Linked DNA regions of Caenorhabditis elegans. The protein of the gene in region 1 interacts with the protein of each later gene in a pairwise test. Each region holds a gene or a part of one and is shown in the gene's direction. Other genes may lie near its edges.

Region 1 (4,518 bases):
AATTATGTTCGAGTTCGAGGAAATTCGTAATGACAGTGAGAAGCAGACCAATGATTACGAAATAATCGATCACATAAAATACAAGGTATTTATTTTTCAAGCTCACTATTAGATGTTCTTTAATTTCTGTTATTTAATTTCAGACAAAACGTCGCTTGGGTCTTCTTGAACCAAAAGATTTTGCTCCAGTTTCAATTGCTGACACTCAAAAAGACTTCCGTCTATTCCACAGCGCTGTTGCCAAAGTCAATCTGCTTCATCATCGTGCCACCAGAATGCTCCAAACTCAAGGTCAATACCAAAACCAAACAGTCATCAACTACACACTCTCCTATGATCCTGTCTCTGCTATTCACGAAACTGGACCAAAGAGATTCCAGAAGTGGCGGCTAAACGATGTGGAGAAAGATTGATTTTTGAGGGCTACCTAATTTGGATATCAAGAATAAATAATTGTGTTAATAGTTTGTTTTTCAGTTTTTTTTTCATTTTTATGACCGCAGAAAAGTAATATTCAATACAAAAACATAAGAACAAAGGCATGATGGGTCATTTAGATTAATTTACAATAAAATCTACATAAATTTCCTAATAATTTTTAAATCTTCGAGTTTCAACAATGATCACATCCACAATTTCCCTTATCTTCATCTTTATCGCTACCATGTCCTCCTTGTGGCTTTTGCTTCTTCTCTGGAAGAGTATGTCCACGACAGTGCTCCGTCTCATGCTCCTCCGGCTCCCAAGTTGACGGATCATCCCAGACACGAGGCGGAGTGTAGATGCAACAGCAATTGGATTTGAGACGTCCCATGTGTTCGTTATCTAAAGTTTAAGTATTTTTCAAGACTTTTTAATATAAATTCACTCACCAATTACTCCCGCTCCCCAAGTGACACGTGGACGCTCAACTGGAGCTCTCAGGCGGAGCACAAGCTGCTCTCCTTCTTCGTTGGTTTGACAAGTTTCCGTTACGACGGGGGCTTGCATCGTACGACTGTGTAGTTGATGTACGAAATGAATAAAACTTTGAATTTTTTCCCTGGAATCGTGGACTTACACTTTTATTTATTTGACAATTTATATATATTTAAAATGCCATGATTCCACTATAAAAAGTTCAAATTTCAAAAAAATTTATAAATTTCAAAAAAAAAATTGAACTTTTAACGTGAACTTTTGAATTCCCCTTACCTCCCCCTTGCCACACTAACAATTTATTGCTACATACTCGTCCGACAACCTCAACCGTCGGATTAAACAATCTGCTCAATTGATTGGTTAGCTATGGCTTCCTCGTTCGACAACCAAATGGATCAGGATGGAATGTGCTCCGTGTACTCTGCTCAGCCATCGGAGACAAATTGCTCCATCAATGAGGTGCTTGCCAAAGAAATTATCGCTGTCAATGAGACGCCAGATGATCGTAAGTTTTTATTGTCTTTTTTTTGGGAATATTGAGTTTACAGAAGCTGATTCTTCGATCTACCCAATCCCAAAATCAGAAACAAATGTGTCAGCTAGCGAAGGGTTCCAGCCATGTCAAGATATCAATCAATTCAATTTGTCCGTTTACTCTGCTCCAAAATCCGAGACCCCAGTGACCATGAATGAGAAGTTCGAGCGGTGCAAAGACTGTAAGTTAACTGCAACAACTCTATCTTGAAAAACCAAAAATTTTCAGTGATGAACGTTCTTGACTACTCTGTCTACTCAATGCCACCATCAGAAGCAAATGTTACAATGAATGTTGCAAGCTTCTCGGAGTACACTGCCCTTGCCTCGGAGACCAACGTCACAATGGCTGATGTTCTCAAGAACGTTGCTCAGGATTTGGCGTCAGAGCACACTGCAAAATCAGCTCATCCAACATTCGACACCACCGCCTACGTAGAGCGCCTTCAAGCCGAGCTCGGGATTCCGGATAGCAAAGTGATTGGATTGGAGTGCAGCAATTTTTCGAATGCGAAGATCATTGATTCAATTGAATGCCTTCATCAGTTGGACAAATTCCAACCAATCCCGGTGGATTTCGATCAGAATCCTGATTTTGGAAAAACTGGTAAGAGTGAAGTTTATTTAAGAAATAATATTTTCAATTTCAGCCAAATCTGTGGAAAGCTACCTCTTGCGTTCATCCAATGCCAGTTCAATCCATCACGAGATCTGAAGAATCGGAACAAATTATTGAACTTGGTCTATAAAAAATGTCGAATCATTTTTGTTGTTGTCTATGCATTCGTAATTTCTTGGTTTTTTGTATAGCAAATTTTTTGATGACTATTACGATAGTTCATGGAAACGAGACTTGTGCCTGGCCGCCTTTTGCACACATGAAAGCGAGGCGGACAAAATGAGCCCCGTCATGGCTCCCGGGTTGAACACCTAACAAGACGGGAATTCTTCTAAAAAGAGTTGTCTTATCCCTATAAATCTGAAATTTGCATCAATTCTTCACCCGCCCTTGTTGCGATCTACCAGCCTCGTGGTTCTAAGTTACTTCTACCATGCTATTTAATGTTAACTGTACATAAAATGTGGTGCTTCTTCTCAATTTCCATTATTTCCTACTTTTTGAGAGAACTGTTCGAAAGGAGTTGCCTCTGTGAGCATCTATAAATTCTTTGTACAAGTTTTCACCAATCACGTGGCAACCGTGTTCTTTAAATTTTTATAAAATTAAATGTTTTCACGTCTTTCCTACTAATGCCTCAATGTTCATTTTCTTATATTCAAAATTTCATTTCAAAAAAATTTTCAAATCGATCACATCTCGAGAGATCATAATCATGGAGTGTTCTCAGGAAGATGTCGTCAATGGTAATTTTACTGAGTTTGTCATGCCGTCTGAACCGTAGAATTTCAGATTTCATTGCTCTCGAAAAGATTGGTTCAGAAGTGGATATCAATTTGGATGGAGTCATCAAAAGCAAGGAGTGTAGTAACACGAACGAAGCAGATATTATTAGTAACTGTGAGTTGCCTTTAAACGATTTCAGATGATCTTGAATCACCAGATTTTTCAGTGATAACCGCAATCGAAGAATCTTTGAGTTGTACATCGGTCTGCACAGCTGTATCATTGGAGACAGTGGCACAAAAGTTGGATGCCTATGCAGATCCTTCTTTGAATACTCAGATGTCTTTCAGTACAGCATCGGATTTGAGTTCTATGGAACAAGATTATGTTAAAGGTGGGATTCCGTCTCAATTAAATTTTAAAAAATTTATTTTCAGCTTCAGATGATCCTTTCGACCTCAATCATCAACCGTCGCCGCTCCAAGTCTGGCGTGATCAAGGCAAAATCACCGGATTTCAAATGATGTGTGATGATCAGAAGGTTACTGTAGTTGATTCTCTGGAGTGCTTAGCTCAATCGGAGCAACATTTGGAACCAGTTTACTTCGATCCACGTGTCAACCTTGCTATTCCGTGCCCGCCAGATGATTTTGAGATTCTTGAAGACTATGGTTCAACATCCAATGCATCAGTCAATTCGGATGACGCTTCAACCGCAGAACTTGGTCCGACGTCTGAAGAGTTTGAAGAATGGGTTCGGAAAATTGAACAGAACTATTGAATAGCTATTTGATAAAATACATTTTTTCTCATTGAAGATAATAGTTTTGCATATCTGACTCTGCGTCTCCAAAGTCTAAAACGAGTTGAAAACAACAACTGCCTAGGCCCCCTGTCGCCTCGCGTGTGCACATTATACTCTTTCTACTTTTGTTCCTCGCGCTCTCTTTTTCTAGTTTTCGAACACTCTCTGCATATCAAGAATATTCAAAGTGTTTTCTTTCTCTGTTTGATCTCCGGAAATTGCTCCAAATTTACACAAATTTGTGGTCAATTGGTGTCATCGCGCTGTTTCTTGTTTCGTATTCGTTTTTCGTATTTTAAACGAACATTTTCGTTTTCAACAACGACAATAACGAAATTTCCCATTCATTTCATACACTCGAATATTTTTTCTTCGTTTCCAGAACTTGCCATGAATATGCTCCGCTGCTTTCCGGAGTGTGGGATTTGCGGGCAGGAGTATTCAGAAGACGAAAAGCTCCTAATCCCTAGAATTTTGACTGGTACACCGTGTGTTTTGATTCTTAATTAAAAATTATTTTATCTTCCAGAATGTGGTCACACGATTTGTACAGGATGTGCAGGAAAAATAAAAGGACAGTCTTCGATAATCGCATGCCCATTTGATCGAATTGAGACGAGAATTTGGAAAAAAGATGTGACGAGACTCAAAAAGAATTTTAGTATTCTGGAAATCAAACAAGAGGTGAAAGATCGAAAGAACCGAGTAATTTCGGAAAAGAATGAGAAAAAGGAGAGGAATAAGAATGGAGTCTGTGATGAGAACACGAATCATCACGCTTCGAATTATTGTGAGACATGCGACGCCGATTTATGTGAAGAGTTAGTTGAAATATTATCAGTTTCACAAGATTTTGACATGGCTTTTTAAAGGCGCACTCATTTATTTAGATGAGTCTCGGCGCGCAAGAAAA
Region 2 (3,842 bases), on another chromosome or scaffold:
TATGTTATAAGCCTTATTTTCCTGATTATATTGCTGAGTCAGAAATTCAAAATTATATTGGAAAATGTGCAATAATAAAATTGACGGAGTTGGCTTGCCTTATTCTACTAGCTGAAAAGATCACAAATATTTTCTGCACAAGTTCAATGTACCATGCCTTTCTCATTAGAGAAAGACCACCATTAATTGTGAGAGAAAAAAATAAAAATAATTTTCATTCTACCTGATTGAATATTGAGCAGCTACCGGAAACTTCATGAACAGCAGCAGCCAGGCTTTTTGACAACGTTCTCACAGGAAAAACAGAGAGAAAAAAAGAAGAAAAATACCTTTGTATATATAGACGTAATGATTCTAAGTCTCTCTTATTTCTTTTCAAAAAAAAACTAGACAAGGACCTAAGAAAAACAAAGAAAATGAGGTGTCGTTAGGGATGTCGGGAGGGATGACCCAAAGACAAAGAAGTCCTCTAGGGAATGTGTGATACTGTGCAAATACCACTAGATGATGACAGAAGTCTCTGATGAGTGGCACCTTCCCTATACATTTGTGTATAGATCTGATGGTCTAAAAAAAGCAAAGAAGATGGGTGGTTCAAGTAATACACGGAGGCACTTGAGTTGGTCAGTGTTCCTCTAAGAGCAGAAAAGGAGGAGCAAAGGGAGACGCAAAGGCGCGCACAAAATAAATTAGAAATTTAGTCGAGATGTCGAAAAATCGAAAAATTCGAAACGAGTGCAAGATAAATGAATGAAGATTTTTTTTGGAAGACCTCCTTCCTTGAAAAGTGTAGTGTAGTATGATATGTAGATTCGCGAACTTGCGAAAGAAAACTATTTGGCGATTTTTAAACAGTTTAACCATAACAAGCCTATGTACATTTCATCAACGAATTTTAAATTCACAATTAAAAATTATACATTTTTAGTAAAACAAATTAACCGTTTTCCAACATATGTTTTTTTTTTAAACTAGTTAATGGAAAACTAGCCGTAAAACAAAAAATCAAAACATCCGTAATCACTCTTATAGTATTAAAATTAAAATGATTTATCGAAATTACTCAAAAGACCTTTTCTTTAATTTGGCAATTTACCACAACATTGACTGAACATTTTGAAAAACTAAAACTTTTTGGTAAATTTTTTAAGTTATATTATTTTTAATTTAATTTAATTTATTACGATAGTAAGATATCGTGAGGTAGAAAAAAAAACACACACATTAACAGACACAAACCATCACAAGTGGTTACATAAAAAAAAATGGAACAACAATAAAAAAAGATGAGAAAAACCATGTTGGATTCAATAACTTTTTGTGGGTAGTGGAAAATGAAGTTGATGATTTTTCAGTTCATTTAAATCAATTTGACTAGATCACTTTCGAATGAAAGCTGTGTAATTCAAAAAAGAACTGTCAAACAGCCAATTTTAGAATTTTTTCAATTCTAGGAATAATTTCAAAATCTCATGTGCTAGATTCACAACTCCTAGAGTCATTTTTATTCCGAAAAAATGTCCAAATAAATAAATCAAAAATACTATGATCCATTCCGCATACTTATTCTTTTTTCAACAACAACAACAAGTTCTTCACTCGAAAACTACTGCTCAAGTTGTCCCACAAAACCACTTCAAGGTCCTTTTGGCATTGTTCTCTTTATGAATATTGCAGGCGTACTTATCTAAATTATTATATTTGCATTTTTAGAATTACATTTTGCTTCACGAAATAATAGTGTCGGGACTTTGTGAGCAATATTAAACTCTGATAAATATTGACGTCAACTTTTGCCAAACTGAACAGGAAAACTGGGAAGCCTTTCATAGACCTGCAATGTCTACCTTTCTGCCTTGCATACCTACTAGTAAATCCTGTTAAACTCTGGTGTTTGTTCAGTTTTGATTTACAAATGCATCTTTTCTTCATATAAATAATTATGTATGAAACTTCAGCACGGAAAAGAAAATGAATTAATGTGTACACTTTTTAGTAGGTAGGTTCGCCATGCAGGCGTAGGTTCGCCATGCAGTCAAATAAACATTTTTTAAAGTGAGTGGTTTGTTTCGCGTGCGTTTTTCTCTTGATTATTAATAAAAGTTTTAAAGAGAAAATGTGGGAACATTAAAAAATACAGTATCACGTAGTTTGTCCAAGTTTAAAAAATTCCTAATCAAGAAAGGTCATCTACAAGTCGATTATCAATTGAACTTCCTTATATCAATCATTAATTAGTTTCCTCACAATCGAAGAGTGCAGTAGTCCGATTGAAAATGATCAACGTCGATCCGCCAACTGGAAACTATCCGGCAACTGGAGGCAATTCGACGCACAACATCACTTCCGAATCGGATTCCCGTCTTGCATTCAAGGTGAAGTCGTCGAACAACGAGCACTACCGCGTCCGTCCAGTTTATGGGTTCGTGGATGCAAAGGGAAAGAGCAAATTGGACATCAATCGTCTTCCAGGGCCACCAAAAGAAGACAAAATTGTGATTCAATACGCGGAAGTGCCAGCCGAAGAGACTGATCCAATGGCACCGTTCAAGGCTGGAGCTCAACAAGGAGAAATCATTGTGAAGCTCATCGCTGCTTGAATGGAATGCAATAACTGAAGCAAATGGGAAAGAGATTCATTGATTTTTGTATTGAATAAAATTATTGTATTTTCCGCTGGTGTTTGATTGTGTTTTAAAAATGTTTATCAATTCCAATATAAGATAGTATTCAGTCATGTGATACATATTTAACAAAAAAAACGAAAGAAGTTGGGGATTTTTCCTGAGATTCCGTATAGTAATTGTACATAGAGCTTGAGCATCTAGAATACGAAAGAAGAGCAAGTGATTCCTGAATCATTTGTCACTGAGCAGAACTCTGAATCGGAAGAAGCGAGGTATTCGAATGGCTGCTTTGTGCAGATCACAACATATTCACGGTTCATTTCAGTTTTCAGGAGAGCAGTGATTGTTTCACGTGACTCCTTCTCACCTGATGTCATTCCCTGAAAATGTTCAATATAGACTAGTTACTTTCAAATGCAATACCTTCTTGATAATATCTCTAACTTCAACACTATTACAGAACAAATCTCCACTTGAAGCTTTCATGTCAACTGATCTCTTTGACTTGGCTCTGTATGGTCCTGGTCCGTAGGATCCAGCATAAGATGGTCCAGCGTATGATGGTCCACCCGCATATGATGGTGGTGGTGGTGGAGGTGGAGCTTCATATCCGCCTCCGCATGGTGGAGGTGGTGGAGGTGGTGGACAGCAGCATTGTTGAGGTCTTTGTGGACCTAATCCTAAACCGAGTCCTTCTAGAAGGAATGCAGATGAAGAAGCAGTCAGTGAAAGAACAATTAGAACTGATGAATGAACCATTTCGAGTGGAATGTATGAAATTCTCGTTTTCGATGGTCACTTTTGTAGTCATTACAGCAGAGCGTTAGAGATTGATACGCAGAGAAATTGCAGCTTCATTATTACACATTTTGAGAAAATTCGGCGAGAAGTGACCGCCAGTGCTGTAACAAACCGATGAGTAATTGGCCGAAAAGCCACTTGACCCCGGGTTCGGCACACAGAATTCAAGGTTAAAGTGGGTGGAGCCTACTTGTTTTTATGCTTGTTGACTGGTTTAAGTTCGTCGCGTCATTGCGCAGGAGACCCCCTAGAACCTTCAGACTACTCCATCACTTATTTAGTACATGATTTATAGTAATTCCATTTAACAAAATTTAATAGCACATAGGTTTCATCAGAAAGTTTTTGGTCCTTCTAGTTACAACAACAGAGATGAGGACGGTGAGTCTTACAGCAGTGTGGTTTCAATAATTA

The links.
Region 2: the proteins of ZK945.6 (region 1) and ssp-34 interact in a two-hybrid assay, tested with the Caenorhabditis elegans proteins (one large-scale study listed by BioGRID).

Annotation. Positions count from the first base shown.
Region 1 is NC_003280.10:10,105,174-10,109,691, reverse strand, and holds ZK945.6 (Ovule protein), read left to right. Parts: upstream 1-2,721; 5' UTR 2,722-2,789; coding exon 2,790-2,820; intron 2,821-2,866; coding exon 2,867-2,974; intron 2,975-3,026; coding exon 3,027-3,194; intron 3,195-3,237; coding exon 3,238-3,581; 3' UTR 3,582-3,612; downstream 3,613-4,518. Other genes in the region: lov-1 (Location of vulva defective 1), read left to right, coding at 1-85, 144-413; ZK945.8 (PPP1R11/YPI1 family protein), read right to left, coding at 614-825, 873-990; ZK945.7 (uncharacterized protein), read left to right, coding at 1,288-1,426, 1,470-1,637, 1,685-2,062, 2,106-2,170; putative RING finger protein ZK945.4, read left to right, coding at 3,996-4,086, 4,135-4,426.
Region 2 is NC_003282.8:10,737,037-10,740,878, reverse strand, and holds ssp-34 (Sperm-specific class P protein 34), read left to right. Parts: upstream 1-2,276; coding exon 2,277-2,600; downstream 2,601-3,842. Other genes in the region: grl-21 (Ground-like domain-containing protein), read right to left, coding at 2,825-3,007, 3,051-3,386.